Linked DNA regions of Arabidopsis thaliana. The protein of the gene in region 4 interacts with the protein of the main gene of each other region in a pairwise test. Each region holds a gene or a part of one and is shown on either strand. Other genes may lie near its edges.

The links.
Region 1: the proteins of UMAMIT27 (region 4) and AT3G62560 interact in a protein complementation assay, tested with the Arabidopsis thaliana proteins (one large-scale study listed by BioGRID).
Region 2: the proteins of UMAMIT27 (region 4) and AT5G41800 interact in a protein complementation assay, tested with the Arabidopsis thaliana proteins (one large-scale study listed by BioGRID).
Region 3: the proteins of UMAMIT27 (region 4) and RPH1 interact in a protein complementation assay, tested with the Arabidopsis thaliana proteins (one large-scale study listed by BioGRID).

What each region holds. Positions count from the first base shown.
Region 1 is NC_003074.8:23,132,833-23,140,807, reverse strand, and holds AT3G62560 (Ras-related small GTP-binding family protein), read right to left. Parts: upstream 3,523-7,975; 5' UTR 3,270-3,522; coding exon 3,141-3,269; intron 3,029-3,140; coding exon 2,897-3,028; intron 2,249-2,896; coding exon 1,928-2,248; 3' UTR 1,663-1,927; downstream 1-1,662. Other genes in the region: AT3G62550 (Adenine nucleotide alpha hydrolases-like superfamily protein), read right to left, coding at 3,734-3,821, 3,901-4,019, 4,245-4,354, 4,443-4,614; AT3G62540 (Pentatricopeptide repeat (PPR) superfamily protein), read left to right, coding at 5,495-7,294; AT3G62530 (ARM repeat superfamily protein), read right to left, coding at 7,687-7,814, 7,890-7,975.
Region 2 is NC_003076.8:16,730,287-16,738,715, reverse strand, and holds AT5G41800 (Transmembrane amino acid transporter family protein), read right to left. Parts: upstream 5,054-8,429; 5' UTR 4,875-5,053; coding exon 4,790-4,874; intron 4,719-4,789; coding exon 4,488-4,718; intron 4,216-4,487; coding exon 4,118-4,215; intron 4,028-4,117; coding exon 3,841-4,027; intron 3,756-3,840; coding exon 3,625-3,755; intron 3,544-3,624; coding exon 3,307-3,543; intron 3,218-3,306; coding exon 2,828-3,217; 3' UTR 2,623-2,827; downstream 1-2,622. Other genes in the region: AT5G41810 (Avr9/Cf-9 rapidly elicited protein), read right to left, coding at 165-414; CIP1 (COP1-interactive protein 1), read right to left, coding at 6,325-8,429.
Region 3 is NC_003071.7:19,659,338-19,666,458, reverse strand, and holds RPH1 (resistance to phytophthora 1), read right to left. Parts: upstream 3,643-7,121; 5' UTR 3,597-3,642; coding exon 3,411-3,596; intron 3,265-3,410; coding exon 3,054-3,264; intron 2,972-3,053; coding exon 2,790-2,971; intron 2,713-2,789; coding exon 2,686-2,712; 3' UTR 2,557-2,685; downstream 1-2,556. Other genes in the region: AT2G48080 (oxidoreductase, 2OG-Fe(II) oxygenase family protein), read left to right, coding at 107-224, 312-413, 500-609, 694-848, 919-1,267; AT2G48075 (uncharacterized protein), read left to right, coding at 1,837-2,316; AT2G48060 (piezo-type mechanosensitive ion channel component), read left to right, coding at 4,073-4,121, 4,444-4,524, 4,783-4,942, 5,028-5,185, 5,300-5,456, 5,541-5,727, 5,999-6,114, 6,517-6,601 and 2 more. UniProt on the Arabidopsis thaliana protein: Plays a positive role in the immune response to the oomycetes P.brassicae, including induced oxidative burst (e.g. H(2)O(2)) and enhanced expression of defense-related genes.
Region 4 is NC_003070.9:3,849,308-3,857,777, forward strand, and holds UMAMIT27 (nodulin MtN21 /EamA-like transporter family protein), read left to right. Parts: upstream 1-3,876; 5' UTR 3,877-4,009; coding exon 4,010-4,212; intron 4,213-4,450; coding exon 4,451-4,513; exon of another isoform or gene 4,514-4,687; coding exon 4,688-4,804; intron 4,805-5,034; coding exon 5,035-5,434; intron 5,435-5,562; coding exon 5,563-5,714; coding exon of another isoform or gene 5,715-5,739; exon of another isoform or gene 5,740-5,828; coding exon 5,829-5,952; 3' UTR 5,953-6,200; downstream 6,201-8,470. Other genes in the region: AT1G11440 (uncharacterized protein), read left to right, coding at 111-1,202; UMAMIT26 (nodulin MtN21 /EamA-like transporter family protein), read left to right, coding at 7,698-7,900, 8,063-8,125, 8,288-8,404.

The DNA.
Region 1 (7,975 bases), on a different chromosome or scaffold from region 4:
TAATTGTAGTTAACTAGTGTTGAGTTAAATATTTGGTTTAAAAGTGGGTCTACTTAAAAGGCAACTGTCCCCATTCTATAAACATGTTAGCATCTTAAGAGGCACACCATGACGGCGTATATATCATACACACAACATGTACATACATATTTATACGTAAATACCCTTCATATTTTCATATATACATACACATCAATATGTATACTTCGTCAAATCCCTTCTATCATATGGTATGTTTTAGTTCTAAATTTAATTTTGATAAGTTATATAGTATCTTGCAAAGTTATAGGAATGCATATAGTCCAACAGAAACCAAAAATTATTTGAAAAATCATAAAATATTAAGCTTTCTAGCTACAAGTGGACATCCAAAAATATTGTACATAACACTTTCACTATTGGGTGTTTCGACATTGCAACATGATTGCATTGTCTATGACTGGTGACTTTCACCGAGACATGGGTTTTATATAGAACCAAATAAGTGTCAAAGTTGGCGCAAGTTTTAAGATAGGAATCTATTATCAAATACTAATAATACTAGTTGTATGATTAACGTCGTTATTTAATTTGAAGTATTGAGTAAAAAAGAGAGAATATTGCGTTGGGCATCAAACCAATCATCTAGTTTTGCTCAAATGCATACGATAGAGACCTCTTTTGGATCCAAAAGCTTTGGGTTTTGAACTAAAAACTGAAACCAATCACATAAAAGTCAGATAGCTCAGAGGGAGGCACGTGTTCTTGGCTTAGATATCACGTGGGAATGAGGGATCCATGTGCATCCCTTTACCCCAAAAACCAAGTTAATACTTCTTCTAAATTTATTTTTCTCTTCTCCACGCAATCAATCGAATGAGTTTTAATATTTTGACATTTTTTTATATATAAAAAAAACTTTTCTCATTCAAGCAAAAAACTTAAATCAAATTATTCATTTGGTCACATTTTCGTGCTTGGTATTTCATGGGTCCTGGGACATAGAACCAGTCTCTAGCTAGTGGCGAATATAAAAAAGAAACAGCATAGTAAAAAGAAGAGCAAAAACTGTAACAAGGAATCAATCCAAAGGAGAAAAAATTAATAACAAATGATAGAAATAATACGTTAAAAAAAAACTTTTGATATTAACTTTGGGCCACGTAGAGAAGAATCAGTCCAAAGGAGAAATGTTCTGAAAAAGTTATAAAAAGAGAAAGTGAGCACCTAATAGTTTTCTTACACATCCATATTTGCATAGTCCGTAGACATATATATGCTTGAGCTGCAAAATCTTGAGTCGCAAAATCTAATCTATTAGCCTTATTACGCTGCGACTTGAACGTTTGGAAGCGGCTGAGATCAAAGACGCATTGTGATGGTGCTAAAAAGCAAATTTTTTTACTTATTTTGTGAACTATTTTGGAGTATTATTGTTCACATATTTTAATGAAAATAAATACATGGTTATCCATAGATCTGTTTGTGTTCATTTCACAATACCTAGAAAGAAGAAAAACAGACATAATGATAAGTTCACAAAGAGACATAACACATGTAAAACAATATACGTACACTCATTATGGTACATCTATGTGTCAAATTGATTGGTTTTCAGTGTAGGACATTGTGATTGTTAATTGTCAAACTCGATTCACATGGGGTTTTCTCTACATTACATTATTAAAGTAAAAGTGTTCATCTTTCGAATTTTCATAAAAAAGCTAAGATACAGCCATTTCTTAAGCCCCACACAGTTACACAGTCACAGACAAATGGGTTCACACTTTTCATAGGATTCAACTTTGGTCTGTAAACACAAAATTGATAATTTAAAAGCCGTCAAATCTTGTTGTATACACACATTAATCGTAATTATACATTAGGTTATAACACGTACAGATACCAATCACACAGTATAGATAGATAAGACTTAAATATGATTGATCTAGTCGATATATTGAGAAACCCATTTAAATCCTTCGCCGTAACCCATCTTTCTGACAATGCTGCACATGAACACCTCAAGAGGACGAACATTTGTTCCTGCTAGATTCACTTTACCTTTCCCAGTGGTGAAACTGGTGAGGCCTAGATGATAACGCAGCTCGTCTTCTGATGCAGCGTACGGAATGTCGATTTTGTTTCCAAGGATGAGGAAAGGGACATTTGCTAGGGATTCATCAGAGAGAAGAGCGTCAAGCTCTTTCTTTGATTCTGCAAACCTCTCTTTGTCATATGCATCAACTAGGTATACCACTGCATCAACCTAATACGAGACAATAATAAAGTTACAAACTTGAAGATAGAATGCAAAGAGGGTAGCTAATAGAAACACCGGAGTCTATTAATCTCTTGATTCACTGGAATCATCAGCTATGAGAATGTAAATCACAAGGGACCTCATGACTCTAAAACTGACAGTAAGAGTAGTCTATAGCTATACAATCTTCTAATTTTCAACCTCCACTGGCTCCACATACCAATCACAATGTCATTTTAAACTACAGTATATGATGTATATGTATATCTATCATCTGAAGATTTTACTATAGCTCAATCATTTCAAACTATCATCTGCAAACTTATATAACCCAACGGAGCAACACAGTGGCTAAGGAACAGAGTAGGAGTAGTACACAGCAAGAGCTTACTAGGTACACATAACCAGCAGAATGTAATCACAGGACCTCATGCTGCAACATTCAAAAGAGAATTGCTATATGACAAACTTCATTGAAGATTTCACTTCACCTCTATCATCTAACTATTGTTTATATGGGCACAGGGAAGATTGTAATCTATAACAGAGTCAGCTTAGAGTCTACATACAACTATACGAGCGCAATAGTCCTTCCAAAGACTTGCTAAATTGATTGACCTAACAATAAAATCCAAAGAAGAAAGAAGATCAAACCTTAGCGTAATAGTCCTTCCAGACTCTACGAGCAATCTGATGACCTCCCAAATCGAAGGCTTTGAACTTGATTTTGCCGATACTAAGCTCTTCCGATGTCGGATGCTGTGTCGGCTGATGCTGGACCAGTCTCTGAAACCCAAATCAAACGATTATCGCTGATTAAGACTTTGATTCGTTCGCGCTAAGTAAAAGAAACAAGATTCTAGACAGCGATTACTGATATGGCTCGAAGAAAACGAACCTCGTCCTTTAACATGTGAAGCAAGGTGGTTTTGCCGGCGTTGTCGAGACCTAGAAACAGAATCTTCGCTTCTTTCTGCCATAGTCCCAGAGTTGCCAGAACTCCATAGAACCAATCCACCAGGAACATCGCTTCTTCTTCTTCTTCTTCTTCTTCTTCTCTCTCGCGAGATTGAAGATTTTCACGAAGCTTCGAACACGGAAACGGCGACGTTTAAGTATGACTGTGTCGACTGGATGAGTAACAGATATACTTTGGGCCTTGAGGCCTTTATTGAACTTTGAAGCGAACAACAATTAAGTGTTCAAACAACAAAATTGCAAATATTCAAAACTTGGTATATGGTTCATTACATTCTTCTATACGTTAAATTGAAATTTGCGTTTACATTAGTTTTTAATTTGGCATTGTATGTAGAGAATGTAGATTTGAATTTAATTGGTTGATTGATGTCATTGTCAGCTAGTTTTATATAAGCAAAAATATCTGCTAAATTTGTTTAAACCGTTATGTATTTTATTATCGCATACGAAGATTGATTCAAGTGTTACACCAGTTCTTTCGAAACATATACACAATGCAATCATATGAGCTTAATTATCTTGAGCTTGCTTCTTGACGATAACCACAGGACACTTGACTCGTTTGGCGCAATACTCGCTCACACTCCCTAGCAAAGCCCTATCAAATATATCAAATGATTATCAAATAACCATTAAACCAAAATATTTTTGTTTCTTATAAGAGATTGAAACCTTACCTTTTGAAGAAGCCATAGTCATGAGTGCCCATTACTAACATATCAACTCTAAGTTTCTGAACTGCGTTGCATATAACTTCCTTAGCATCTCCTCTTCCAACTCGTCTCTCTATATTAATCTGCACATTAATTTGGTTATATTTACATTTATTTCGCCAACTCTCTTTGAAAACAACCATATTTTGCTTATCATATGTTATATTTTTTGTACTAAATATTGCTCATGATAAACAGATTAACTCATAACTACTTGATTAAATTCACTTTCTCATAATTTCTCAAGTTTTTTAAGCAAGTATAATCCAGCAAATTAAGTGATAAAAAATCGATAGAAATAAGCTTACATCAGACTCATAATCTTGGTACACGGTTCGAGACCGAGCCATGACCGATTCCACGAGCTCGTATTCATACTTCTTCAAAGCTGCAACCGGGTCTCCTGTCACTATAAACCCTGGAAATCGACCAAACAAAAATCTATAACTAAAGTGAACAGATTATAATTAGGGAAAGATATGAATCGTGAAAGAACGAGGACTAACCTGCGGCATCGAGGGAAGAGTAAACGGGAAGAGGGGGCTTGACGTAGAGGAGGATGAGTGTATTATTGGAACCATATGGAAAAAGATTGTCAAGACTCCATGACAGAGCTTCCATGCTCTCTTCGCTTTCGTCTACTGCTACTACTATCTTTCTCTCCTTTGTTTCCTCCATTTCTTTACCTTTCTAAAAAAAAAAACTGTTTTCTTTTGCTTTCAATTATTAGAGAAGAAATATATTATGAAGAAGACCTGATGGAAGAAGAGATTATGATTGTGTTACTATTTATACAATTAGCTAGGCAAAACCCACTTGATTTCTCATTTTGGAATTAAGTGTTTTCATTTAGATATTTGCAGACACTATCCTTTGTGTAATTTTTACATTAGATAAGATATAAACCCACATAGGATTGATTGATAACCAAATACAGAAAACTATCGTTTTTCTTTCAGGGGTGACTCTTATCTACAATATGCGATATTTTTATGTAGATAATTCATGATTTTTTATAGAATTATTTCATGCTTCTGAACTACTATGTTATTATAGATTTTAGGTGAATCAATATTTATGAACTTAATCTGGAATCTGATTTTCCTCATATATCCCTTAGTTTTATATACATCCCGCAGGGTTATTGATGATTGATGTTACACTGATTGACTGATCTTGATTTTCAGTTATGTAATATCCATAAACACGTATACAAAGACAACGTGAACTAAGAGAAATGTAAGATAGAATCAAATAAATCTAAAAATAAATTGGTCCCCTAAGAAAAACTTGAGAAAATATCACGACCCTAAAACGAAGATAAGATGCATACAGATACCTTCCAACTAAAAAATAAAAATTCTTTATGCGTTTGAGCTTTAATGCTCCTGGTGGACCCAATGGTTATATGTGACCAGATCAATGGGCCTTTAATGGGTCAAAATTATTATCACTCAAAGCTTCTAATCAAACAAAGGCCCAAATACGTGAAGAGCTCTCCGCCGTAAATCAGTGGCTTTTCACCGACTTCGCCATTGCTAATCGCCGTCGAGCTTCCATGGCTGCTGCTCCATGGCTCTATCTCTCTAGGAGAAGAAGCTCCACTCAGACTTCATTAAGAAGATTCCTCATTTGCTCTTCTTCATTCGATGCCGATGAATTCATTTCCAGTCAAAGCCGCGTAATCGGCGGGAGAGGAGAAGAGGAAGTACGATTTTCCGGTGCTCTCTTCTCTCGTATGATTCATTCTTCTACTTATCATCCTTACCGTCAAATTCCATTGCCACACTCCTCTGTACAACTGCTTGATGCGAGTCTTGGGTGTAGAGGTTTCTCTAGTGGTAGTTCTAATGTTAGTGATGGATGTGATGAAGAAGTTGAATCTGAATGCGATAATGATGAAGAAACTGGGGTCAGTTGTGTTGAATCAAGTACTAATCCGGAAGAAGTAGAGAGAGTCTGCAAAGTGATTGATGAATTGTTTGCGTTAGATAGAAATATGGAAGCTGTTCTTGATGAAATGAAACTAGATTTATCACATGATCTCATCGTTGAGGTTTTAGAACGTTTTCGACATGCTAGGAAGCCTGCATTTAGGTTCTTCTGTTGGGCTGCAGAGAGACAAGGATTTGCTCATGCTTCAAGAACATATAACTCCATGATGAGTATTTTAGCAAAGACTAGACAGTTCGAGACGATGGTTTCGGTACTCGAAGAGATGGGTACGAAAGGTCTATTGACGATGGAGACATTCACTATCGCGATGAAAGCTTTCGCTGCTGCGAAAGAGAGGAAGAAAGCTGTTGGTATCTTTGAGTTGATGAAGAAGTACAAGTTTAAGATTGGTGTTGAAACCATTAATTGCTTGCTTGATAGTCTTGGCAGGGCTAAGCTTGGAAAAGAAGCTCAGGTTCTGTTTGATAAGCTGAAGGAGAGGTTTACACCTAATATGATGACTTACACTGTTCTACTCAATGGTTGGTGCAGGGTGAGGAACTTGATAGAAGCAGCTAGAATCTGGAATGATATGATTGATCACGGATTGAAACCTGACATTGTAGCTCACAACGTAATGCTTGAAGGGTTGTTGAGGAGTATGAAAAAATCAGATGCGATCAAATTGTTCCATGTTATGAAATCCAAGGGACCTTGCCCTAATGTCCGTAGCTATACCATCATGATCCGGGACTTCTGCAAACAGTCGAGCATGGAAACTGCCATTGAGTACTTTGATGACATGGTTGATTCCGGGTTGCAACCTGATGCTGCGGTTTACACGTGTCTGATCACGGGGTTTGGGACTCAGAAGAAGCTGGATACTGTTTACGAACTGCTCAAGGAGATGCAAGAAAAGGGACACCCTCCGGATGGCAAAACGTATAATGCGTTGATCAAACTGATGGCGAACCAGAAAATGCCGGAACATGGCACAAGGATCTACAACAAGATGATCCAGAACGAAATTGAGCCATCGATACACACGTTCAACATGATAATGAAATCTTACTTCGTGGCGAGAAACTATGAGATGGGGAGAGCAGTTTGGGACGAGATGATCAAGAAAGGGATTTGTCCTGACGATAACTCCTACACGGTTTTGATCAGAGGGCTTATAAGTGAAGGGAAGTCGAGAGAGGCATGCAGATACTTGGAGGAGATGCTTGACAAAGGAATGAAAACCCCTTTGATTGATTATAACAAGTTTGCAGCTGATTTCCACAGAGGGGGACAACCGGAGATATTTGAGGAATTGGCACAGAGAGCTAAGTTCTCAGGTAAGTTTGCTGCAGCAGAGATCTTTGCGAGATGGGCTCAGATGACTAGAAGGAGATGCAAACAGAGATTCATGGAAGATTGATAACTTGGGGGCGGGTAACTGGATCATTCAACTCACTCACTCGGAGAAAGCTTATCTGCAAATGGTTGGTTTTCGAGCCACAACTCTTACTTGAATCAAGAATATGACTTCACTAGCACAGCTTGGACTGAACTGATCACATTGGAATCTGTCAGATAGCTTTTTTGTAATTTGCTTCTATAACAAGAAAATATTAATTAACAATTGTGCACTCTAATGAAAAAAATTAATCATTCTTTCACTGAGAAAGTGAAGAAATGCAAGTAGGCCGAGATAATAGCTTAAAACAGAGCTTAAACCGTCTGCAAATCATTTGAATACAAAACAAAGTTTAACAAAAGGAAGATGAAACGTAGATGTTTTCATTACACAACAGACCCACACACACCATTTTATATGAGAGGGTCATATTTTTTTGAATTCTTAAATTCCAAGATACTCAATGAAGAATCACAACCTTTAGCGATAATGGGATCGAGGTCGCCTGAAAGTTCTTGGAGTACTTCTCTGCTCTTCTCATCTGAAAAAAAACCCAAAGAATGTCAAAGAGTAATTAATTAAAGACACAAAATTGTGGTAGCTTCTAGGAATATACCTGCAATGAAACCAAGGGCTTTTGCAGCCTCTACTCGAACCATGGGGTGCTCCTTCACATCTCTCAAGATCTTGCTTAGAGAAGCT
Region 2 (8,429 bases), on a different chromosome or scaffold from region 4:
TATATAAATGTAAGAGAAAAATTCGAAGGGGTTGTTATATTTTTGTCTCAAATTGTTACATGTAAGCATAACTTAGTTGGTTTAATATATGAATTAGTCATACCAAAAGGATAAGAAGAAGACGTTTTATCAAACATAAAGGGACAAAAAGATTAGAAACTTACCAATTTCCAACTTCTTCTTCATCTCAAGTGATGATGATGATGGTGAGTCAATATTCTTAGAATCAGCTTGTCTTGTTTCATCTTGGTTTTGTCTTGAACCATCCAAAATCTTCATAGTTTCTTGTCCTTTAGTAACCTCCTCATCTGCCTTCTGAATCACCACACACTCTTTCATCTTCTTGATCTCATCCTCCTCTTTAGTTGACATCATTGTCGACTCTACATCTTTTGCTTTGACTTTGATCTCCATCTTTGTATTTTCGTACCAAAGAGAAGAAAAATGAACGCAAGAGATTGATCTATCCCCAAAAATCTTTTTCTTTTGGTTTACAATAACTATATAAAATAGCTAGAAACCTGTGAATTGTAATATCTCGGTGGTTGTTACGTATTGATGGGATATTTATCTATAATATAGTATATGTATGGAGAGAGAGAGAGAAGTGGGTACTTGGTGGTTAATTATGAATGGTCTTATGGGCTTCACGGTCTGATCATTTAACATTTATATATGTATGAACATGAAAGTATTGCAGCTAATGTTTATTAATTAAATATTTAATCCCACGATAACGACGTTCTTAGTGAAAGACAAATAAAAATTCTAAGTTTTTGGTTGAAATTTTGGAATTTTTGGCTCTAATTTAACATTTTTCTAGTAAAATACATAATTATCTCATGTGGCCAAATTTAGATCTATTAATGCTGAAAGTTTCTCAACTAATTGAACTGACCATAATTTTGTATATCACAAAGCTTAATACATTTTTTTAATTATAATTTAGAGTAATTGATAGATATGTTTAAGAAAATAAAAATTGATAGATATGATTGACCCATAAGCTCGATTAAAAATCATTAAATGTCTGGAAAGTGAGAAGTGATATCCTACCTCTACGCGTGTCCCGAGCTTGGTGGAATTTTCACGTGAATGTAATGCAACTGACTATATATTATAGTACTACAATAATCATACTAAACTATCATATTTTAGTGACTTGTGGTAAAATTTGGTTAACCATTATTAAGCCCCAACTCTAGCGTTTACCAAACCATTAGCGAATTTTAAGTTCTATACACGTACGTAATTACATTTTTTTTTTTTGTAAGCTAAATCACATGGATTTTATGAAGTACTCATGTATAGTTAGTTGACAATGACGAAAAATGTAATAAATAAACGAGCTTAAACTTTTACTGTCAGAATTAGAAGATTTTAGCTCTTTCAAACACTCTTTTTCCACATGAGTGTCTTGCAAAAAAGCACGATCATGTGGTATTATCTTTTTCTAAGTAAACTCTATTTCATCAGATTGGTTTTCTCTTAAAGAAAATGGCCATTTCTATCTTGAATGGATGAATTACTTTTGCCATTAGGAAAAAAACTTTTACTGACTTACACACATGTGTCTAAAACAATTAACACAAAACGAGTTAGGTTCTGTATGTTGACTATTCGTGCTCGTTCCTAAATTCCTAATCCTAACACGTAAACCTTAGAAATAGTATTTAACAAATACTATCGCTGATACATCACATGATAAATCATTAATTTGATCTTGTCCCCACATATATTTATTTTTTTCATTTATGATGAAGATCCTCAAATCATACTCTCAATATAATATATATTTACAGAAAATGGCCAAAAGATACTATATGAATACAAACCTTTATATATAATTAGGTGAGTATCTGCACTATGCGCGAGCTTTTTTCGGTATTTTTTTGTTCCTCATGATTTGTTTTTAGTTGTTATATTGAAATGCTATTAAAAAATAGTACCTTGTTATTGTGTCTATATTTTATTTTTAAATTTACTATATATCCATTTATTTTGTTGTTGCTAGATTACCTTGATCCTAAGTTCTTTACGTCCACATTGTTTTGCATTTCCATTTAGATTCTTAAGGTAATTTTTAATAATTAAAAAAAAAAAGAAGAAGAAGACAAAATGCAAATGAGATTGGAGTATCCGCTCCGAAATCCATGACCATAGTATGTGATAGTCTGGGCATTCGAATTTTGGATCGGATCAGATTAGATTAGGTCTGATAGAATCCGATTAGAATCCAAACAATTTTATGATTCTAATTTTTTTAGACTTAAATCGGTTTTTATTGATATTTTAGAATCCCAAGTGTATTCGAAACCAAAATATGTATGGTTTTAATTCTTATTTGGATTTGAATTATCCGATGAAATCCAAAATATCCGAATTATCCGATCAGAATTATCAAAATTATTTGAAATTTACTATATCAAATATGAAATTCTGAATTACACGATCCGAATTGAGCATAAAATTAATAATATGTAATGTATTATTTCGGATTGGTGGATATCCAATCGGTCCGAAACCGAACCAATCAGCTACGAATACTGAAAATTAACACACTCTGAGAGAGTTTACTGAACCCAGTAATCTGTTTAGTGTTTATACCCAAAGGAACTTTGTATTTAAATAGAAAATCATTTAACAAAAAAAACATATTCATCTCAAGAACAATTGACGTAAGTGTGATAATCCTTGTCTGGTTTTGCATTTTGTAACTAGTTTGGTTTTGCATTTTGTGTGATAATGAATCAACTCGAGAAATTCATGTACAAGTGTAACCACAAAACAAGTATTGTTTATGTTTTTATCACACTATCAAAACCATCTAATCAACAACTTCACTGCTAAACAACTTGAACTTATTAGCATCAAGAACAAGTTTCCTAATGGAGGAGAAAGCTCCCATGAGTCCTGCACAAGTGAACACAACCATTATCGTCATGTTTATCCAATACGTGAAGCTCCGTCTGGTTGGCTTATAGGTCATGTTGTATAGAAGCATTGGCAGCACGAAATCGAGTGGGATAAACCCAAACGCTCCTACCACCGCGTTTATATCCCCAAAGAACGGTAGCATCGCTGCCATGAACCCGCAAAACGCCATATATAGTGTTCTTAGTATCAAACGCGGCACAAGGTTGCGTTTTGAGAATATCCCTTTTGTTGTATCCGCTGATTTCTTCTCCATTATTTCATACGCAACTTGAGAATACACCTAACCAGTTACCAAAAAAAAGAAACATTTAGTCACTCGTCTCACAGCCAAGTAACATCGAATAACGATCACACTAGTTATAAACTTACAAGGCCAATGGCGAAAAGCTGAAGAAGGACAAAGATGACAGCTAAGCCAATCACCACGATAGGAGCCAGAGTCGGTCCTTCATCAGGCATTAAGTTCTTGAGGATATTAGAGCTCGAATTGTTACCAAAAACCCAATATCCCGAAATTGCAGCAGAGTAAAACGTGAAGAAGATCACACTATAACACAACAATAGTCCTTTCAACATCTTCCCTGTGGCTGGTGGAGCAAGAGTTGCCTGCATACATATAATCATCTCATAAATCTCAAACACATAACATACAATGTTTGTATTGAATAAATTGCAAACATTTCTCACCTGTATTTCGGGTAAGATTCCATTTCCGAAAATAGCAGCTATGATCGAAATTGATGTGAAGGCACTAAAAACTTTCCCTGAATCCGAATGCTCTAGAGAATACTCACGTTTAGGAGCGTTTTTCGACAAACCTGTAGAACCAAAACTGGGCAATGAATCTAAATTTTCGAACATTAGTAAGTTGTTGTTTCTTCGCTAACGTAAGAATCATTATACCTAGGTTGATACAAGCCCCAACGACGAGGAAAGTATATCCTAAGCTGAGAAGCAGAGACGCACAGTTAATGTGTCTAAGAGAGTGAAAACTTGGAAGCTGTGAGAGAACCATCATCACAACAGTCACCATAGCAATGAACTCGTAAAGCTTCAACGTTCCTTGCGGGAAAAGACTCGAATACATTATCTGTGTAGTAACACAAAAACAGAGGATGATCCGTACGGTTCTTATAGTACCTTGTTTAACAAGTAATCAAAATTTAGGTTTCTTTCTTACATCAAGACATTGACCTGCAAGTAGAATGGCGCCAATACCAATTCCAGTGTTGATAGCTGTTTGAATAAAGATCACTACATAAAACATCAATCCAGATCCTGCACCACATCACAATAACCGGCTCAAAATTCGAAATCGGCCCTTAAACCCAAAACTCAATAACCGGAAAGACCAGACTTTATGACGTAAACCGATCTATAAACCGAAATACACAGGCCTAACCTAGACCGGTACGGTAAACTAAGACACGTGTGATGATGGCGAATCTAACAAGAAGTCAAAGTATCCAAATCGAAACACGATCCAACCTTTACGGATTTATCCAAAAAAAGCAAATTAATAAATACAAAGAAGAGATTTTGAATGATACCAAGAACATCGGCGGCGAGTTCCCGGAAACGGATGTGACGGCGGCCGGATTTTTCACAGTGATCAAGAACCTTAGACATGAGGTAATAAGCGTAGAAAGTAACGAGTCCCATCGTCGTTAAACAAACAAACCCTAACCACCATCCTAATCCTCTAAACGCATATGGTAATGTCAATATCGTCGGACCAACAATCGCCGTCGTTAGATGAAATCCGGCGTGCCACCACTCGCCTGAGAATTAATTCTCAAATCAGTTAAAATTCCAAAATTGGAGATTGATATCATAAATATATGGGTTTAACCTTTTGATTGGAGGACGAAGAGAGCACCGGCGTCGGAATCGAGTCGGGTAACAGGAAACGGGTCGGGTCTGGGAGGATCCGTCATCGATGAATTTTAGTGTGAAAGAGAAGAAGATTCTACAAGTGAATGATTTATATATGGAATGATGATGATGGAGAGCACGGTGGAGAGGTGGGCGCATGATAGCTGGTGATAGTTAATGTTTGCTATAATGTTAAATTCCGTTGCTTCTTTAAAGAAACAACCTGTCATAGTGAGAAAAGGAGACATATTTTGCATTTTCCTCTTTATTCGGGATGTGATAAAATTTTGCTTTTTTCAGATTCCTATCATTAAATTAAAAAATTAGTTTTATGATTCCTATTTTCATACATTTCCACTTGTACTTTACTTGTGCTTCTTTGCATGTTTCAGATTTTTTTTTGTAAAAATAAAAATATTAAATTGACAAAACAAGGTTTTGAAATTACTTTTTGATATTTTATTTAGAAATTTTCAGTAATGTATTGTTTGTAAATAAGGAAACAAATTTTAAGAGTTTTTTTTTTGTTGGAATAATCCAATATGATTTATATGAATATCTATCACATAATTTTAGATTTAATGTATCTTGGTGAATTAATCAGATAATAAAGTAATTGGGAATTATAACGTGTTAGACTCTTTTCAAATTTTAAGGTCAAAGTATAATCACTGTCTGATTTTAGAGGAGAAAGTAGTGTGTTTCCATAAACTCATAAAAGTGAATAGAGTTTCTATTTAAAATTTAATAATTTAAGATATTGCCAAATTGTACTTAATTTTCAATTAACTTCGATTTAGGAAATATCAACTAGTTATGGAATTTTTTCTCAAATATTTGATTGATCTAACATCACCAAACCTTACTGGCTGACTTATTTTGTGTATCATTCACATGGCTGACTTTTTCGGTTGTGAAAAACACTTGAAAAAAAAGTGGTTGCTATTAAAGAATAAACATTTCAAACATTTCAAACTAGTTCACATTAGAAATTCAAGGCGAGATATAACGACTGCTAATGCAAAAAAAAAAAACCCAATAAAATAAGAAATGAATGAGAGAACGAAACTCTGTAAAGCGATGTGTATAATTTTGTTATGAAAGAGCAAAGATGATACTATAACAAATTCCAAACAAGCAAAAGCACTATACCAACAGTAGCATTTAATCGTTCTATACAATCCGACGCCCAAAGAAAAAAAAATATCAACTCCATTTGTGTGAGCCCCTTTATTCCCTGACCTCCCATAAAAACCACCACCAACTTTGCCCACAATAAACCAAAAATTTTGACTTACAAAATACAACAAAAGTTAACAAACATATAAAAGTGCAACAAAATCGAACACAAGTACACCAAAAGTCCCCAACCAAAAATACCTCTCCACCAGCTTCTTGATTGACCAGAGTCCAAAACCTAATAAACACATATATGTTGTTTCATTGTTTGCATTCATGTGAGGTGGAAACTAGGCTTGGGAAAGATAAACAACGTACCATGGCACTGAGTCCTTAAGTTCGCTGCGACACTCTTCTTTGGCCTCGAGCCACAACGGTCTTAGACAAAACCTCCTCAAGATATTCACAACGACTTCTATGGTGATCGATCCAAACACATAATTGCCTTATCGCTTCTCTTTTCTCTTCTCCAAGTCCCATCAAAGTCTCTTTCATCATCTCCTTCTCTTTTTCATCTTCTCTTACTTTTCCTCCAAGCTTTTTTATTTCTTCATCTTTCTTCTCTATCTCTTTATTCATCTTCTCCTTCTCGTGATTTCTCTCTATCACCCAATTCGTCGCAGTCCACAGTATTTTTGATGCCTCCATTACAGTTTTCTCGTATCTCCCCTGTTTCTCCGTGAGTTTTTCTGACATGGATTGAAACCCATCTACTGTTATGTTCACTTTATCTGCTATCTCTTTGATCATACCTCGATAAGTCTCATGTGTCATGGTGAGATTCTTCTCAAGCAATGCTTGCTCCTCTAAGTGCTTAGCCTCTTCTTTCCTGAAAGCTTCTTCTTTCTCTGTTAGTACCTGTTCGGTTACTCTCAGTTTCTGGTTCGACAAGCGTAGCTTAACCTCGATGTTACTGATCTTCTCCATGAGAGTTTCGATCTCGTCTCCTTTCATTTCCAGCTCGTTACGTAAACTCTCCATCGTCTCTTCATGAACCCCAATTGTAGAATCTCTGGATGTCACTTCCTTACCCCTCTCCTCCAACAATCTTTGAGCTTCTTTGTAATCCACAGTTACCTTATTTAGTGTTGCTTCAGTTTCTTTAAATAGTTCGTTTATCTGCTTGTGTTCCTCTTCCAGCGTATTGTAAGCAGCTTCTTGCTCTACCAATGCTTTCTGGACATCGGTGATCTGATTCGACAATTCTGATTTCTCTTGCTTCTCTCTCTCAAGCTCTGCTTCGGTTTCGCTCTTCTGCACCTGTAGAGAATCAAGCTCATTCTTCAGATTGTTGATCAGTTCTGTTAAGGCCATTATTTCAGAAGACGCTACGTTGATCTTATCGTGCATTTGAACATTCTCTTCTTTCTTAGTTCTCAGCTCCTCATCAAGCTCACTTCTCTGTTTCCCTAGAGTCTCTAACTCAAGTTCACGACCCTTAATCTTCTCAGATAAACCATTTATTTCTTCTAGAATACTCTCGTGAACTTTAACCTTGTTTATGATCTCCTCTTTTAGATTTGTAATCTGACTCAGATATTCAGATATCTCCTCGGACTTCTTTTCAAGTTGGATCTCGAGTTCTGCTCTCTGGCTATCAAGTGAGGCCACTTGCTGTCTCAGACCATTGACCTCATCATCCAAACGTTTAATCTTCACTGAGGCTTCCTCGCTTTTGCACACCATTTGTTTCTCCACCTCTTCTTTTTGAACAGACATTGAATCTAATTCTGCTCGTAGGCCATCGATCTCAGCTGTCAAAGTCTCAATTGAAGACGATGATTGCTTATCGTTATCCTCAAGTTTTTGAGTTAAAGCTGAGAGTTCAGTTCCTCTCTCCTCCATTGTCTTCTCAAGTTCTGAGATTCTAGCAACCATTTCTCTGTTTTGCGCTTCCAACTGCTCAACTACGGTGGTCTTGCTTGCAATCTCTGTCTCAAGATCTATTATACGGGCACGAACTGACTCTAGTTCCAGCTCCAGTGTCGCTACTGTTGCTTCTAGTTCTTTTATTTGCACCTGTGATTTGCTGTCCTTCTCTGTCAGAAGGAATAGTTTGCTTTCTTTCTCAGCGAGCTGCTCTTTCAGTTTGCTCGAATCAGCTGTGAGTTCCTGTACCATGATCTGTGTCCGTTCAAGCTCATCTGAAGTTTCTGAGATTTTCGTGGACATAGTTCTGCTTTCTTCTTCTGCAGCCTTCAGACTTTCGCTCAATTCCAAAACCCTGTGTTCAGATGATTCCAGTTGCGCTTCTAAACCTCTTAACTGAGTGGATAATTCTCTCTGATGAGTCTCATGGATATCCCTCAAGCTAAAAAGTTCATTGTCTTTCTCAGCGTGGCTCCCTTTTAATCGTTCAGACTCAGAGCTGAGTTCTTGTATGGTGCTTTCCGCCCGCTTGATCTTGATCGACATTTCTGAAATTTGCTGAGATAAAA
Region 3 (7,121 bases), on a different chromosome or scaffold from region 4:
ACTCATTCCTTAGTGTGTAATCTCGTCGTCCCGATGGATATTGAATTTGCTTCATTAATTGTTTCCATGACTAAGAAGACTGCGTGGTTGCTCCTCTATCTCGCAGGCCAATGTTGTCAAAGGCCTTAAACTCTACCAAGATGTCTTCACTCGACCTCAACTCTCCAAGCTTCTGGATTCTATTAATCAGCTCCGAGAGGCTGGTCGGAATCACCAACTTTCAGGTGATTTTATCCTTTGAATTTAATTCCGTCTTTTTTTCTTTCATAAACCTTACACACGAGAGTAAGTTTCTCTCATCTCAAATGCAGGGGAGACCTTCGTTCTGTTCAACAAGAACACCAAGGGAACCAAAAGAGAGCTTCTTCAGCTTGGAGTTCCTATTTTCGGCAACACCACGGATGAACACTCTGGTAATGACAACAAGGCAGGGACTTGGTGCTTCCGCTATTTCTAGACATATACATACCATCTCCTAATTTATAACCCGTCCTTGCAGTGGAACCTATCCCAACCCTTGTCCAAAGTGTTATCGACCATCTTCTTCAATGGCGTCTGATTCCTGAATACAAACGACCAAATGGCTGTGTGATCAACTTCTTCGATGAGGTACTTACTTACACTTCCATTTCCAGAATCCAGATCACCATCTCTCGATCCTTCCTTCCAGCTAAGGTTTGGGATTGTTTTCAGGACGAACACTCTCAACCATTTCAGAAACCTCCTCACGTGGATCAACCCATATCCACTCTTGTCTTGTCTGAATCAACCATGGTGTTTGGGCACAGACTCGGGGTCGATAACGATGGCAACTTCAGAGGCTCACTCACTCTCCCACTTAAGGAAGGGTAATGGAAACACTCCCCCGATGTTGATTGTATCCGAGTTTTCTTTCTAATCAGAAAATGAATCTCGCAGGTCGTTGCTGGTGATGAGGGGTAACAGTGCAGATATGGCTAGGCATGTAATGTGTCCCTCGCCCAACAAAAGAGTCGCAATCACCTTCTTCAAACTCAAACCGGACTCCGGTAAGGTCCAGCCGCCGCCCACCCTATGGAGACCAGGCACCCCTTCTCCTCTGGTGATGCTAGCTCCGGCGCCCAAGAGGCTAGACGCTGGCACTGGAGTTTTCTTGCCGTGGACACCGCCAGTGTCAAGAAAACCAGCCAAGCATCTCCCGCCGCGTGTCCAGAGGCTGCGTCTCTTGTCATCATCAAAGTCAGTGGCAGATAGTGAGTCATCGTCGCCAGAGATAGGAGTGAGTTGAGTTGGAAAGTGTCACACACGGAAGCTCTTTCTTTTTCCTTTACTTTTTTTTTTTAAAGCAGAGTCTTTTGGTTGTACACTTGAGAGTTTAGTGGGTTTTTCTTGTTTCTTCCTAACATTTTGCTTTCCTTTTATTTGGTCAATTTTATAGAACGAAGATTAGGGTATTATGCTACATCATCTACTGTTGTTACATGATTCACTATTTGTATTAAAAATCTTTAGGATATGCCCCACCACTTGCCATTAATTTCAAATATCTTCAGCTTCAATCAAGAAAAGAGGAAACTTGATTGATACAAATATTCCTGAAACTGCTTCTCAGTTAAAGTAAAAGAGGATGAAGAAGGAAGCAGAGAGATTCTGGTTTTCTTCTTCTTTTATTGGATAAAACGACACATAGCTTCCACTGGCTCAATTTCCCCATCTAACAAAAGCGTAGAATCAAAGCAAACCCGATATACCACTACTCATTTCTTCATATACACCAAAACCACTCCTCAAGCACAATAATCCTGGAGAGAAAAGAAAAATACCTTTCTGTTTCTGCAGTCTTCTTTTTGACAGAGAATGCACATAAGAGAGGATGATGACAGCATCAGCTCTCTGCGGCCTCGGGGCATTTGCCGTCGGCTGTTTCGATTTGTGGTGGCTAAACTATGGATATTAGGAGACAAAGAGATGAATGAAGATAAGCCTGAGAGGAACAAACTGATCAAGAAGGGATCAATGTCTGACATCACTATTCATTTCAAGCAATTAGAAGACTCGGAGGATAACAATTCCCCTGCCTCGTCAAGTCCAGAATCAGAGAGAGAGACAATGATTACACTAGTTAATGGTAGTAACGGCCCAAAGAAGAGGTTACAGGAGAACGGGGAAAAGAGCATGCTGGGTGAGCCCAGCCCTAAGCAACAAATCACTCAGCCTGAAGCAGGGAAACCACCACAGCCTCATAGACGCCTGGGGCCCCTACTAAATGATATAAATAAGAAATCAGATGCTTTTATCGAAAGTACACTCGAGAAGATGAGGAAAGGCTTAGCCTAGAACTAAACACATGAGCCTCCTTCTTCTCTCGCTTTCTCTGTCGAATAGAAGAACCAACAGACACTGGGATGCAAGAATTATCTATATACTCAATTCTTTTACTTTGTTTAAATTTACCAGCTGCATTCTTGATAACAAAACGTATATGTACTCCCACTTGTATTTTGAACAATAATTCATCTCAGAACTTTAAGATTTACAAGAAATATTCCTTAAGGGGCTAGTTCATATATCATTCTAGAGCAATGTTCACATTCATTTGCCTTAAACCCACGTACCTAACACGATAAGCTGAATGAAGTACCATTCTAAGGAAGAAAAGACAAAGAATCTTCATGCTCTAATCCCATCATGATTCACGAGTAGTCCCTACTCTGTTCTTTCCAGCCATCCAAGCTGAAGTAAGAGGCAAAAAGTGAAAAAAATAATCTGAGCAAGCACATATAACTATATAAGCGCCCCTCAATAATTACCATTCGACATACCTTCCAGGCATACATAGCAAAGAAGGCAACCGTGTCAGCAGACCAGACAAGAGCAAATGATTTCCAAAAGAAGGGAATAGCAACATTGAGCAAGGGGACGATGAGAAAGAGGTAGTTAAGAGCCTCTTTCTCTTTACTTGGACAGTCTCGTGCCCGAAGAGAAGGAATAGCTGGAAAGAAAGTAAAGGATTAGGGGCAAAAATGCAGCCTTGGAATAAATAAAGTTAGAAGAAAGTAGAGAAGGAGACATACTGAACATCCAAATGGACCACATGCCCATCAACCTCCATAAATCAGGTTCGCTGGAGGGAAAGAGGAGGTTGAAAGAAAGGACACCTCCGAGGAACATCGATGCATAGCCTTGAACCTCAAAAACTTTGTAAAGAGTAGTTCCAGGGAGAGCAGGGTTTTTACTGGCGGTGGAAGCTCTAGGGGCAAAGGTTGCAGCAGTCTTGTTAACAACCTGCTTGAATTGAAAAGTCATAAGCTTGAGCAACTCTTTCAACAGGTTCAAGCACTAGAGACCAATCTAACATGGTGCATTTTCATTTTCATGTCTTCCTATGGTTTCAACAGAAAAATCGTAAATGATATAGAAAAAAGGCGGACCTTTTTCAAGTCTTTACCGAGAGCAGAGGATGAGGAAGGGAGAGGAGATTCCGGCGGGTCGTCCTTGGGTTCTAATCCGTCAGAGGTGGCGAAAATACGGAAGGTGGATCTTCTTCTATGGCGAAAGCCATAAGTGAGAGCTATGGAAGAGGAGACCCCATGGGTGCTGCAGAGAGACCAACTCATTCTCTCCTCCAATAATCGCGATAAGGAAGAAGAAACTTGTTGGCTTTATTGAACCGGTCCAATTCTCAACCGAACTCCGGTATTCCAAATTAAAAGCCAGCAATCAATAATTGAATCTCGAGCCCACGACGGTTTGATTGGTTTAGCCATTTCTCGGCGCTAAATATAATTTATTAAAATGATGATTATTGCGAGAAGAAAAGATCTTTCTTTGATTTTTGCTTGTGGATTTGGATTTCCAGTTTCCAATTCTCTCAAATTTGCAATCCACCTTCAAATTCACACACATCTTCAACAGCTACCTTTTCGGGAACTTGCTAGAATTCGTGAGAATTGGAAATTTTTATCCTCCGTTTTAGTCTCCGGCGGGCTGATTTCGTTGGCCTTTTGGAAGAAATTGAGGTCGGAGCTAGAGAGGGGATCTATTGAATTCGATGAGAATTGGGATATGGTGATCGTTAAGACAAAAGTTTCCAATGGCGAGTTTTTTGGTGGGCTTCTTGTTGCCTTCGCTTCTTCTGGCAGGTTGGTTTCTTTCTCTATCTTCTTGCTTGCAATAATAATAATAAAAAAATCCTTACTTTGCTAGTCCTCTTCAATCAACAGAGTCCTCCTCTTTGTCTCATGGGATATCTTGAGCTTCACTCATTTACTCCTTAACATTGTACCTACTCTATTAAGGTTCCTTTATTAAGTTTTACTAGTTTAAACGACCCTGGTGTTTTTATGTCAAAACATTGGTATCATATCTCTTGTTATTGCTATCTCCATTCTCTACCACACCGTAGCTTGTACTTTTTTCGCTTGAGCTTCTATTTTCCTAATATATTTTTCTCTTCTCTCACAGCTGCACTTATTAACTGGAGTGTCATATCCTTTCTTGATTTGATAGCTTTCCTCCTCGTTCACTATATTGCACCTGAAATTGGTAAGCCTGTTTTCCCTCTAATCAAAAGAAATACCCCAATGTTTCTGCTGTAGTACATGTTTCTTGGAATCTTTGATTTGGGGTTTAGGTGTGAAAGGATTCATCTAGTTTATGCCCAACATCTACATTAGCCTGGAGAAACAGAAAAAAAAAAAAGAGAGTCTATTATTCTCAGTTTTCGTCGCTTTTTTCAGTTACGGTTGATTAGCTGATGTTTACTTTCTCAAACTTACTTTGGTTCTTGCTTTATTTTGCCAGGATACCGTTTTCAGAGGAGGCATTGGCTATTATGGCCCATTTTCATCTTTTCCTTTGCAGTATTTCTTGCTCAAGTGGTCTACCTTGTCATTTGGGCTGCTCTAGGTCAAGACTGGGATACACCAGATACTGGCTGGATGAGAGTTATTGGCTTTATGATGTAAGAGTACTCTCATCATTTCATTCATCTTCCTGCCTTACAAATATTTACTTGTTAGTTGATACTCTCGTCTTTGCTTCTGCAGATTAAAGTCTTGGAGAAACCCCACCGTTATGTATTTCCTGGCTTTACAACTACTAACATCATTGGTTGCTTTAGCTGACATATACAGTAGTAGATTCGGCTTCGCTAGATGGCGGGACACATGGTGGTCTCACTTCTCAGGAATTTTCGAACACCTAGGTTTGTAATTAATGTACTAGGCCCATACGGCTTGTCCAAATACTTACTGTAACGTTTTCTCATCATGTGTTCATCTGGTCTTGGTTTGACGTTATCTCCTCCTTTATTACTCAGGAAGTCATCTTAGGGTTGCCTCCTGCTTGTTGTTACCAGCAGTTCAATTGGCAGTGGGAATCTGCAATCCATCATGGGTTTCTTTGCCATTTTTTATTGGAAGCTGTGCCGGTCTTGTGGACTGGTCCTTGACAAGCAATGTTTCAGGACTTTTCAGGTGGATAGATTATTGATTATTACGCAAAGTTAGCACTTCCAAACCCTGCTTCTCTGAAATCTAGTCGTTTTTTGTCTGGTTAAGGTGGTGGAGAGTTCTTTATATCTACGCAGGATTCAACATTGTCCTGCTTTACCTCTATCAACTACCAATAAACTTTTCCGATATGATTCGTTGGATAGCAAGCTTTATAGGTCTATTCAGAATCTCCCTGGAAACTGAAGGCCCTGATATTTGTTCTGGTCTTTTCCTTGTGTTGTTCTACATCATGGTATGTCTTTTGTTTTTCGAGGATTAGTATTACTTGGTCTCACTCAAGTGTAAAATGATAAACTATATTACTGAACCATATAATTGATGAACTGTTTCTCAAAACAACTGTCAATATGTGGTGACCGTGTTTGGGGAGTTGGTTATGAACACCAACAGCCAGTGTAGTTTTTCCTTCAAGTGAACTGACTTACCCGCCTTAATCTGTTAACGAGCTACCACTATGTTATACCTGTAACAGTCTTGACATGCCTGTCGTTCTGCTATTGCAGCTATCCTATGTAAGGTCAGACCTCGAGGATATGGACTTTATCATGTCCACGAGTGAAAATAACTTGGCAGAGCGGCTTCTTCCTCCAAAATATTCATTTTTTATTCGAGAATCAAGGTATTCTATATAGATTTTTGTTTAGTTTCTTCCTACTGGGAGCTGTTGTGGTTTTAACATAGTATATCAGTTTTTCAAGGGAAATTTTAGTTTTTCTGTTTAATTTTTTCTTACTTATGTTAATTAATTTATGGTTGAATATGCTCAAAGAATTGTGTTCAAGGGTCGGCACTACCAAACGTGGAAGCCTAAACACTGGACAGTTTTATGAACACAAAGTTGTGATTGGTTTCTCTGCTAATAGAAACTATGGGGTTGGGTAAAGATTAGTACTCCCTTACAGAGTACAACTAGTTCACACATTCTAATGGATGTTCTCTTGGCTGGGCTGTACAAGATTAGCATTGTAGATGGATAATAGTTACACTCAACTTAATGTGTTAATTTTTTCCAAATTTTCAGGGCCGGTGTCAGGCACACCAATGTTTTACTGAGGGGAGCTGTGTTTAAGACTTTCAGTATTAATTTCTTCACATATGGTTTTCCGGTATATATTTGTATCCCTGGTATTAAAGTGTATGTGTCAGCTAAAGCAACATAATGTGTCAGAAACTCACACTCTTTTTATTTGCGTTCATGATTGCCAGGTCTCTCTATTTGCTCTTTCGTTCTGGAGTTTTCACTTTGCGAGCTTGTGTGCTTTTGGCCTCCTTGCATATGTTGGTTACATTATTTATGCCTTCCCGTCATTGTTCCAGTTGCACAGATTAAATGGCCTTCTTCTCGTATTTATACTCTTATGGGCTGTCAGTACGTATATATTCAATGTGGCCTTTTCTTTTCTGAACACTAAGGTTGGAAAGGTAATATATTCTCGATGCGCAAAATCTTCAACTACTTTAAGAAAACTAAGATGTAAATTAACAACTAGTGTCTTAAATATACAGGACATGCAAATTTGGGAGATGGTGGGACTTTGGCATTATACTATACCTGGATTCTTTTTGCTTGCACAGTTTGGTTTGGGGATGTTGGTCGCGTTGGGTAATCTTGTAAACAATTCTGTT
Region 4 (8,470 bases):
GAACCAAACATTCCAAATTAGTTTAATCGACAGATCACTGCTCAGCTGAATCGTTTTCTCTCATCAACCGCAGAGAAAGACTTTCAAGATCATCCTTCAAGCTCTCTCAAATGGCCAACTTCTATGAGAATTACCAGAGTCCTTACGATTACAATCAGGTTAATAATCTCTACGATCAAAATCATTATCATTACAATCAACAGCAGCAGCAGCTTGGTTTCGAACCAATGAGTTATAATTATTACAACTGGAATGAATCTGAATCTGAATCTGAATATGTTGCTTACTCTGGTTATGATGATCCAATGAGTTATAATTGTTATAACTGGAATGGATCCGAGTCTGAGACAACCTCTGCATATGTTGCTTACTCTGTTTCTACCATGTCTGAGCCTAAACACTTGTTCTATGATCCGAATCTCTATACAACCTACGAATCTCCTCCTCAGTTTAGTATCTATTGCTCTGTAGCCTCTGCTCTTGACTTCAACGAGCCGGAATTCGATGAATACGATCCCACGCCGTACGGTGGTGGCTACGATGTTGTTGCAACCTATGGAAAACCTCTTCCTCCATCGGTGGAAACTTGTTACCCTTGTTCAACCGCTCCTCACGCTAAAGCTCCCTCTCCTCCTGAGATTATTGCTCCTGTTCCTCTTGGAATTTATGATGGTGGTCAAAAGAATGTTGTCAAGAAACGTGTGTCTTTTGCTGAACCGGTAGAAGAAGTCAAACCAATAGAAACCATTAAAGAGCAAGAACAAGAACAAGACGAAGATTATGATGAAGAAAGTGAGGACGAAGATGATGGTGATGATGATGATGAAGAAGAAGAAGAAGGGGATGAGGAAGCTAAAGAAGAAGAAAAAGATCACAGTTCAAGCTATGGAAATGAGGAATATGAAGTCGTAGATAAAGGAGAAGTGAAAGCTTTGTATGTTCCGTCTGGTTACGGATTAGAAGCGACCGATCTCTGTGAGGTTATATTTGGAGGTTACTTTCCTTGTGTGTTACGTAACAAAAGACGTCAGGAAGATGAACAAGATCGTGGGGCTGCTGTTTCTTGCTGGGAAAGCAACGATTCTGATCCGTGGAAGACAACTTCCGATCACCTTTTCGGGGATTCATATCCGTACGGTTACGAGAATCGGAGCGAAAGAAATCAGTTCGAGGTCTCCTCTTATGGTTACCGGATGTATTAACAACCCTAGTTATCATCAGTTGTGTCAATGTGAGGTAAGAACAACATTCTTTTGATTATTGATGAACCTGATTTTTTAGTATCTGTTACACAAGAGATGAGATTTACTGTTGTATAACGAGGAGGGGTTACTTAATAATAAAACGTCGCACGCAAAATCTATCTTCAACCTTTCTATTTGTAACATTCTCTTTAACACGTTTGTTTAAAATCTAAAATCTTTAAATACTACACTCGATGTGATAATTGATTACTGTATCCATCGTAATTATTATTGGTATATATACATTTCTTTGTGAAAAACACCAAATAAATGAAAGAATTGTATCATGGTATATCTAATATCTATCACTGTGAGTACAAGTGCAGAAGAAATTGTAGAAGTAGAAAAGTCAACGATAAAGATGAATTAGCTGAAGTTGAAGAACACTCTAATAAGTAATAACAAACAATGAACACCATGGGGGTTCTTGATTATCTTAAATGAAAATTAGTACCCGATTCAAAAGAATATCATTTTTTTGTGTTTTTGGAAACTCTTTTGAGACGTTAACATGTTGACTAATAAATTATGTGTAAATATACTTTTTTGCAGAAATTATTTTTGTGGATGTATAACTTGTTTACCTGAGCATGTAAGTATATGGAATTTTCAAAACTGTACTACGTATAGACAATATGCAAATACAGAAAACAAAACAAAATACCGTATTTACACGCGATATTAATAAGGTTCAATGACATGCTACTTCTTAACTAAAACAAAATTTAAAATGATTGATGAAAGCTTTACATGTGCGTCATGGAGGCTTAACTTTGTTTTGAGACGTCTACTTCTTTTTTTTTATTCTTATCCCTTTCCAATTTAGTTATATGTAGTATAATCAGATTAATTCACCATATATAAAACCCTTTTTCAAAAAAAAATAAAAAAAATTATAAAAGTATAATAATTATTGAGCTGTTGGTTATACTGTTTTAATTTCATCGAATACTTTCTCTGTTTTGTTTTAAATGATGATCCAGAGAATTTTGTTTATCTTATTTCAAGTGATGTTTTCAAAAGTTTAAATATATTTGATTGTAACCATTTATATAATAGAATATGTTTTTTACTAGTTGAATTAGTTTTATTTTAACAATTTATATATATAAAATAAACAAAATATTTTTTTTATTATTTCTTAATTTATGTGAAAAACTTTAGATATGATTTAATATGAAAAGATAGAATATATTATATACCAATCTTGTAAATTTATTCTAGAACTAAGTCAAAACCACTAACTTTTCTTTTGTGACAACTTTTTTATAAAAAAAATTTAACATCATTAGAACCACTAACTCAATTGTTATTATATTTGGTGAATTGATCTAATTAGTAGAAGGAATATATATGTCTGCACTACTGGAGAGAAAATGCCCCGTCCATTATGTTCTAAGCCTTTTCTAGATAACTTACTGAATCTAAAAATAGCATCTGCTTTTTGTCCCTACAAAGTTATATGGACAAACTAAAGGAATGAAAGAGTTCGATATACCCAAATGGGGATAATATAATTTTTTCATCAACTTTAAAAGTTCAAATATAGAGCTAATTATACGCATTTATAATTAACAAAAACGAGATAGTGCAAAACAAGATGGATCCAATGAAAAGACAAAAGAGAATAATTAATGGATCGAATATAATTCAAAATGGGCACAAAACAAATTTGCACGCAAAAAGTTATTGAATGAGAGTTGCAAAATCTCATATAGTACTTATTTACTACATATGATTAGTTTATCTCGTTGAAAAGTTCGTGTTTTTTCCTATTTTGCACCAAATTCAACAAATCCTTGAGTCAGTCCAATTACAATTGAAAGTAAAGAACCCAAACTTGAACCTATACGACCAGACGGAGACGGGCATGCAAGTGTTTAAGTGTCATTAGATTACAAATGTTTAAGTGTCATTAGATTACACGAAGTATAGATTTAGATATACCAACTAGCTCGGGTTTGCATGACTTATTTTTTCTCACTAAACTCAGTTACATCATCTCTCCGACTCTCTTTTATGAAAATCATTTTGCTAATTAATAAGGTGCGCGGCAGATAACACGCATGATAAAGCCAATGTATCGGTTTCTCATTTACTCATATAACGTATAAAATGGAAAAGCTAATTCATCGGCGCCTCATGAAACGTGTGATAAAGCCAATGTATCGGTTCTCATTTCTACTATATAATAAATAAATAAATATAACAGTAAATATACACATATTGACCGGAAAAAAAAAAGATTGTTACCGCATGAGCAGTTATATTTGTGACGACTTCTTAAACTTAAGTATCCTACTAATTTTGTTCTTTCATTAGTTAATAATATGCTCGGGTTTGTAGTAGTGCTTTGTTCTTCACAAACGCTTATCCTATATAAAAAGAAAGTTTTTTTAGACCAGAAAAGTAAATAAAATTAAGCTAGTTGTGTGTAGGAACATTCAACTTGTTCAAATATTTGAACTATTTTGTAATTTATAATTTTACATAATGTGGAACAAGATTCTAATATTATTTAAATTGAACTTGACAGCACTAAGTTTTTTATTTATTTATTTTTGATAGAAAGACCACTAAGTTAATATAATAGAGCAATAATTCAGGGGTTTTTTCTATTAAAATGACAGAACCCAAACACAGTACTCTTTCTTATAAGTTATAAATATGGGAAGGGTGGTTGCCAAACTCAAAGTACTTTGGGTCTTAACTCTTTCTAACACACAAACTCACATAGAATTCAAGAAAGAGAGAACGAGGGAGAGATGGGTGAGGATATGCGAGGAGTGAAAGTAGTCTCAAAATGGCCACCGATGATAGTTATGGTGACATCACAAGTAGCGATGGGTTCGGTGAATGCACTTGTGAAGAAAGCTCTTGATGTTGGTGTGAACCATATGATCATTGGTGCTTATCGAATGGCTATTTCCTCTTTCATTCTGGTTCCTATCGCCTATTTTTTGGAAAGGTTTATTGATATTTTGATGAAAATAGTTGAGTTATATATTTTTCTTATGCAAAATTTTCAAAAATTTGATTATATCAAAATAGTTTTTTCATATTTACATAATTAACAACATTTACTACAATTGAAGATTGTCAGAATGCTCTATTATAACATGTAAATAAACACCACTACATGTTACTAATATATGAAGTAGATTGATATTTTCTTTCCCCTAAAGTTTATGTCTTATTGTTAACAGGAAAATAATACCGAAAATAACGTTTAGGCTAATGGTCGATCATTTCATCAGTGGTTTGCTCGGGTTTGTCTTCTCACAATTTCTTATGTTCTTTTGTCGTCCATTTTCCATTTTCCTTTTCCATTATACATTGATTGTTTCCACAGAAGAAAGATTTTCTTTCAAGTGAGCATAAAATCTTCATAAGCTAGCTAAATTGTTTTTAATCTTAGCTTAGTTTTGGGTTTAAATTTGCAGGGCGAGTTTGATGCAATTTTTCTATTTGCTTGGTCTGTCCTACACGTCAGCAACTGTTGCGTGTGCTTTGGTAAGCTTGATGCCTGCAATCACCTTTGCTTTCGCTCTTATTTTGAGGTAATTATGGAACCATCTAACTTCTTTATCATTAAAATAAGTACTGTATTTACTATTACTATGCAATGGGTTCATGCAGGATTTATTCGTATTTGTTATGTATACAGTGCATATAATTTCTTTTGTTTTTTCATCAAGCATATTATACTTCTATATATAGAAATACTCAAAAGAACCTTACTCATAAATTATCTCAAATTTATCATCTAAAAGGTTATATTACTTTTCAGAACTGAGAAGATAAAAGATCTAAAGACCCAAGCAGGAATGATAAAAGTGATGGGAACTCTAATATGTATAAGTGGAGCTTTGTTCTTAACATTTTACAAAGGCCCTCATATATCAAACTCTCACTCTCACCTAGAGGCTCTTCCTCACAACAACAGCGATCACAACACCAAGAATTGGCTTCTTGGATGTCTCTACTTAGTCATAGGAATCGTGTTGCTATCTCTATGGATATTGTTTCAAGGGACTTTAAGCATCAAGTATCCTTGCAAATTCTCAAGCACTTGTCTCATGTCAATTTTCGCAGCTTTTCAATGTGCTCTATTGAGTCTTTACAAGAGTAGAGACCTTAAACATTGGATCATCGACGATGGATTTGTGATTGGTGTCATAATATATGCTGTAAGTTATAATACTATATTATCAGAAATCTTAACATTTTTATAAATTATAATGTAGTATATATGTAAATAATTAAATAAATTTTGGGGTTTACCTAATATTACCTTATTACTATACACGTATTATAGGGAGTGATAGGACAAGCAATGTCGACTGTAGCAGCGACATGGGGAATAAACAGATTAGGAGCTGTTTTCGCATCAGCAATTATGCCAGTTTCTCTCATATCGGCTACTCTATTCGATTTCCTTATCTTACACACTCCTTTATACCTCGGAAGGTGCTCTCTTCGATCATCTCTATGAAATTTTTTGTATAGCTTTATAGATGTTAATGTATTAGGTTCATGCTCGTATTACTAATTACAATTTATTTTGTAACTTTTGCTATACAGTGTGATTGGATCAGTAGGGACAATAATAGGTCTCTACGTGTTCTTGTGGGGTAAGAACAAAGAAACGGAAGCAGACATAACTACATTGTCTTCTCGGATGAACAACGAAGATCAACGAGTCTAGGTCGCCCATTTAATCAAATAATATTGTTGTCATAGAAAGATTCATATGGCTTCATTGTCGTAAATTAGTATTTACTACTGAATACATTTACCGTAAAGACCAGTCATAAATATTTAGATTTAAATTGTGCAAGCACACTCACGTTAAAGACCAGTCATAAATATTCAGATTCAAATTGTGCAAGCAGTTTGTATAATTCATACTTTTCGTTTGCAGATTTATAATTTCGTAAAGAGATAACAAAACAGATTTGTTATAATATTCAAAACTAACCAATATAAAGCATATATGATATATCAAAACATTTCACAACAGATCTGTTAAAAGAGCCTCGTAATATTGTTTTTAGTTTCAAAAGCTCTGTTTCTTGGATTATTTTCGTGCTGATTTTAAATGTGTTGCGTTTTGAGTTTGTAGCCTGTTGCTAAAACAGTAAGAATTTAAGGTCTAGAAAAAATAAAGACCAATTGTAATTAGTACTACTGTATATATATTATGCACTACTGGAGTGAAAATGCCCCGTCCATTTTTTCTAAGCCTTACCTTAATCTAGAATAGCATCTGCTTTTTGTCCCTACAAAGTTCGACGGACAAAATAAAGGAAGGCAAAATTTCGATACCCATATTGGGGAGAAACAACTATATACTAATACAGTATAATTTTTTTCATTAACTTCTATATTGAAATGTATAACAATTATTATGTGCATTATAAATAACAAAAACGAGGTACTGCATGGATCCAGTGAAAGGACAGAGCGTAAAAGGGATCGAATCCAAATTGGGAACAATAAAATGGAGAATTATTGAATGAGAGTTGCAAAAATCTCATATAATTATGATAACTTTTTCCCATCATATCGAATCAGAATTCAATATGACGTGGTCATCGTAGATGGGGAATTCAGTATAATACTTTAGTGTTTATGTGTCATTAGATTACACTAAGTATAGATTATACCGACACTGTTTTACTTCATTTGCATGACACGGGTGATAACGCCAATGTATTGGTGTCTCATATAACGTATAGAATGGAAAGCTAAGGTATCGGTGTCTCATGGAACGTGTGATAAAAGCCAATGTATCGGTGTCTCATGCATTTCTACTAAATATAAAAGTAAAAATAATACAGTAAAGGCAATCGTCATGTATATATCGCAACACTGACCTGAAAAATAAATAAAAAATATTTTACCGCAGTAATTATATTTGCGACAACTTCTTAAACTTAAAGCTAACGATTTAATCCATTACTCAATAAGAATATGCTCGGGTTTGTGCTTTGTTCCCTCCTCACAAACACTTATCTTATATAAAATAAAGTTTATTTTTTAGATTAGTCTTAACCAGAACAACAAAAAAATATATACAAATTAATTAGCTAGTTGTGTGGGTGGGAACATTCAAACTATTTAAATATTTTGACAAAAAAAAATTTTATTATTTTTTTTTACTTTTCACACATAATGCGGAACAAGATTCTAATATTATTTAAAATGAACTCGAGTAGACACCACTAAGTTTTTTTGTAAAAAATGTTTTTGATAGAAAGACAACTAAGTTAATACAACAATTCTTCAACTCAGGGTCTTTTCTATTAGAATTAGAGAACCCATACACACATGTTTCTTATATATATAGAGGAAGGTTTGTGGTTGCCAAACTCAAAGCACATTGGGTTTCAATTCTTTTTAACGCACATACACCAAATGACATAGAAAGAAAGAGAGGACGAGAGAGGGATGGGTGAGGATATGCGAGTAGTGAAAGTAGAATCAAAATGGCCACCGATAATAGTAATGGTAATATCACAAGTAGCAATGGGTTCGGTGAATGCACTTGTGAAGAAAGCTCTTGATGTTGGTGTGAACCATATGATCATTGGTGCTTATCGAATTGCTATTTCCTCTTTCATTCTGGCTCCTATCGCCTATATTTTGGAAAGGTTTGATTTTTTTGATGAAATAGTAAGTTATTTACTTTTTTGGCGAATATTGTGAGAATGCTCTACTTTAACATGAAATAAATATAAACTAGTATTTGTTACTAATATATGAAGTTTAATTATTGACATTTTTTCCTAAAATTTACGTCTTATTGTTAACAGGGAAATAATACCGGAAATAACGTTTAGGCTAATGGTCGATCATTTCATCAGTGGATTGCTCGGGTTTGTCTTCTCAACTCAACATAATATTTGATTATGTTCTTTTGTCGTCCATTTTCAATTTCCTTTCCACATAGGAATTATTTTCTCTCAAGTAGCATAAAATTCATCATAAGCTTTTTTTTTTTTTTTAATTCTAGCTTAGTTTTGGGTTTAAATTTGCAGGGCGAGTTTGATGCAATTTTTCTATTTGCTTGGTCTGTCTTACACGTCAGCAACTGTTGCGTGTGCTTTGGTAAGCTTGATGCCTGCAATCACCTTTGCTTTCGCTCTTATTTTGAGGTAATTATGGAACCATCTAACTTCTTTATCATTAAAATAAGTACTGTATTTACTATTACTATGCAA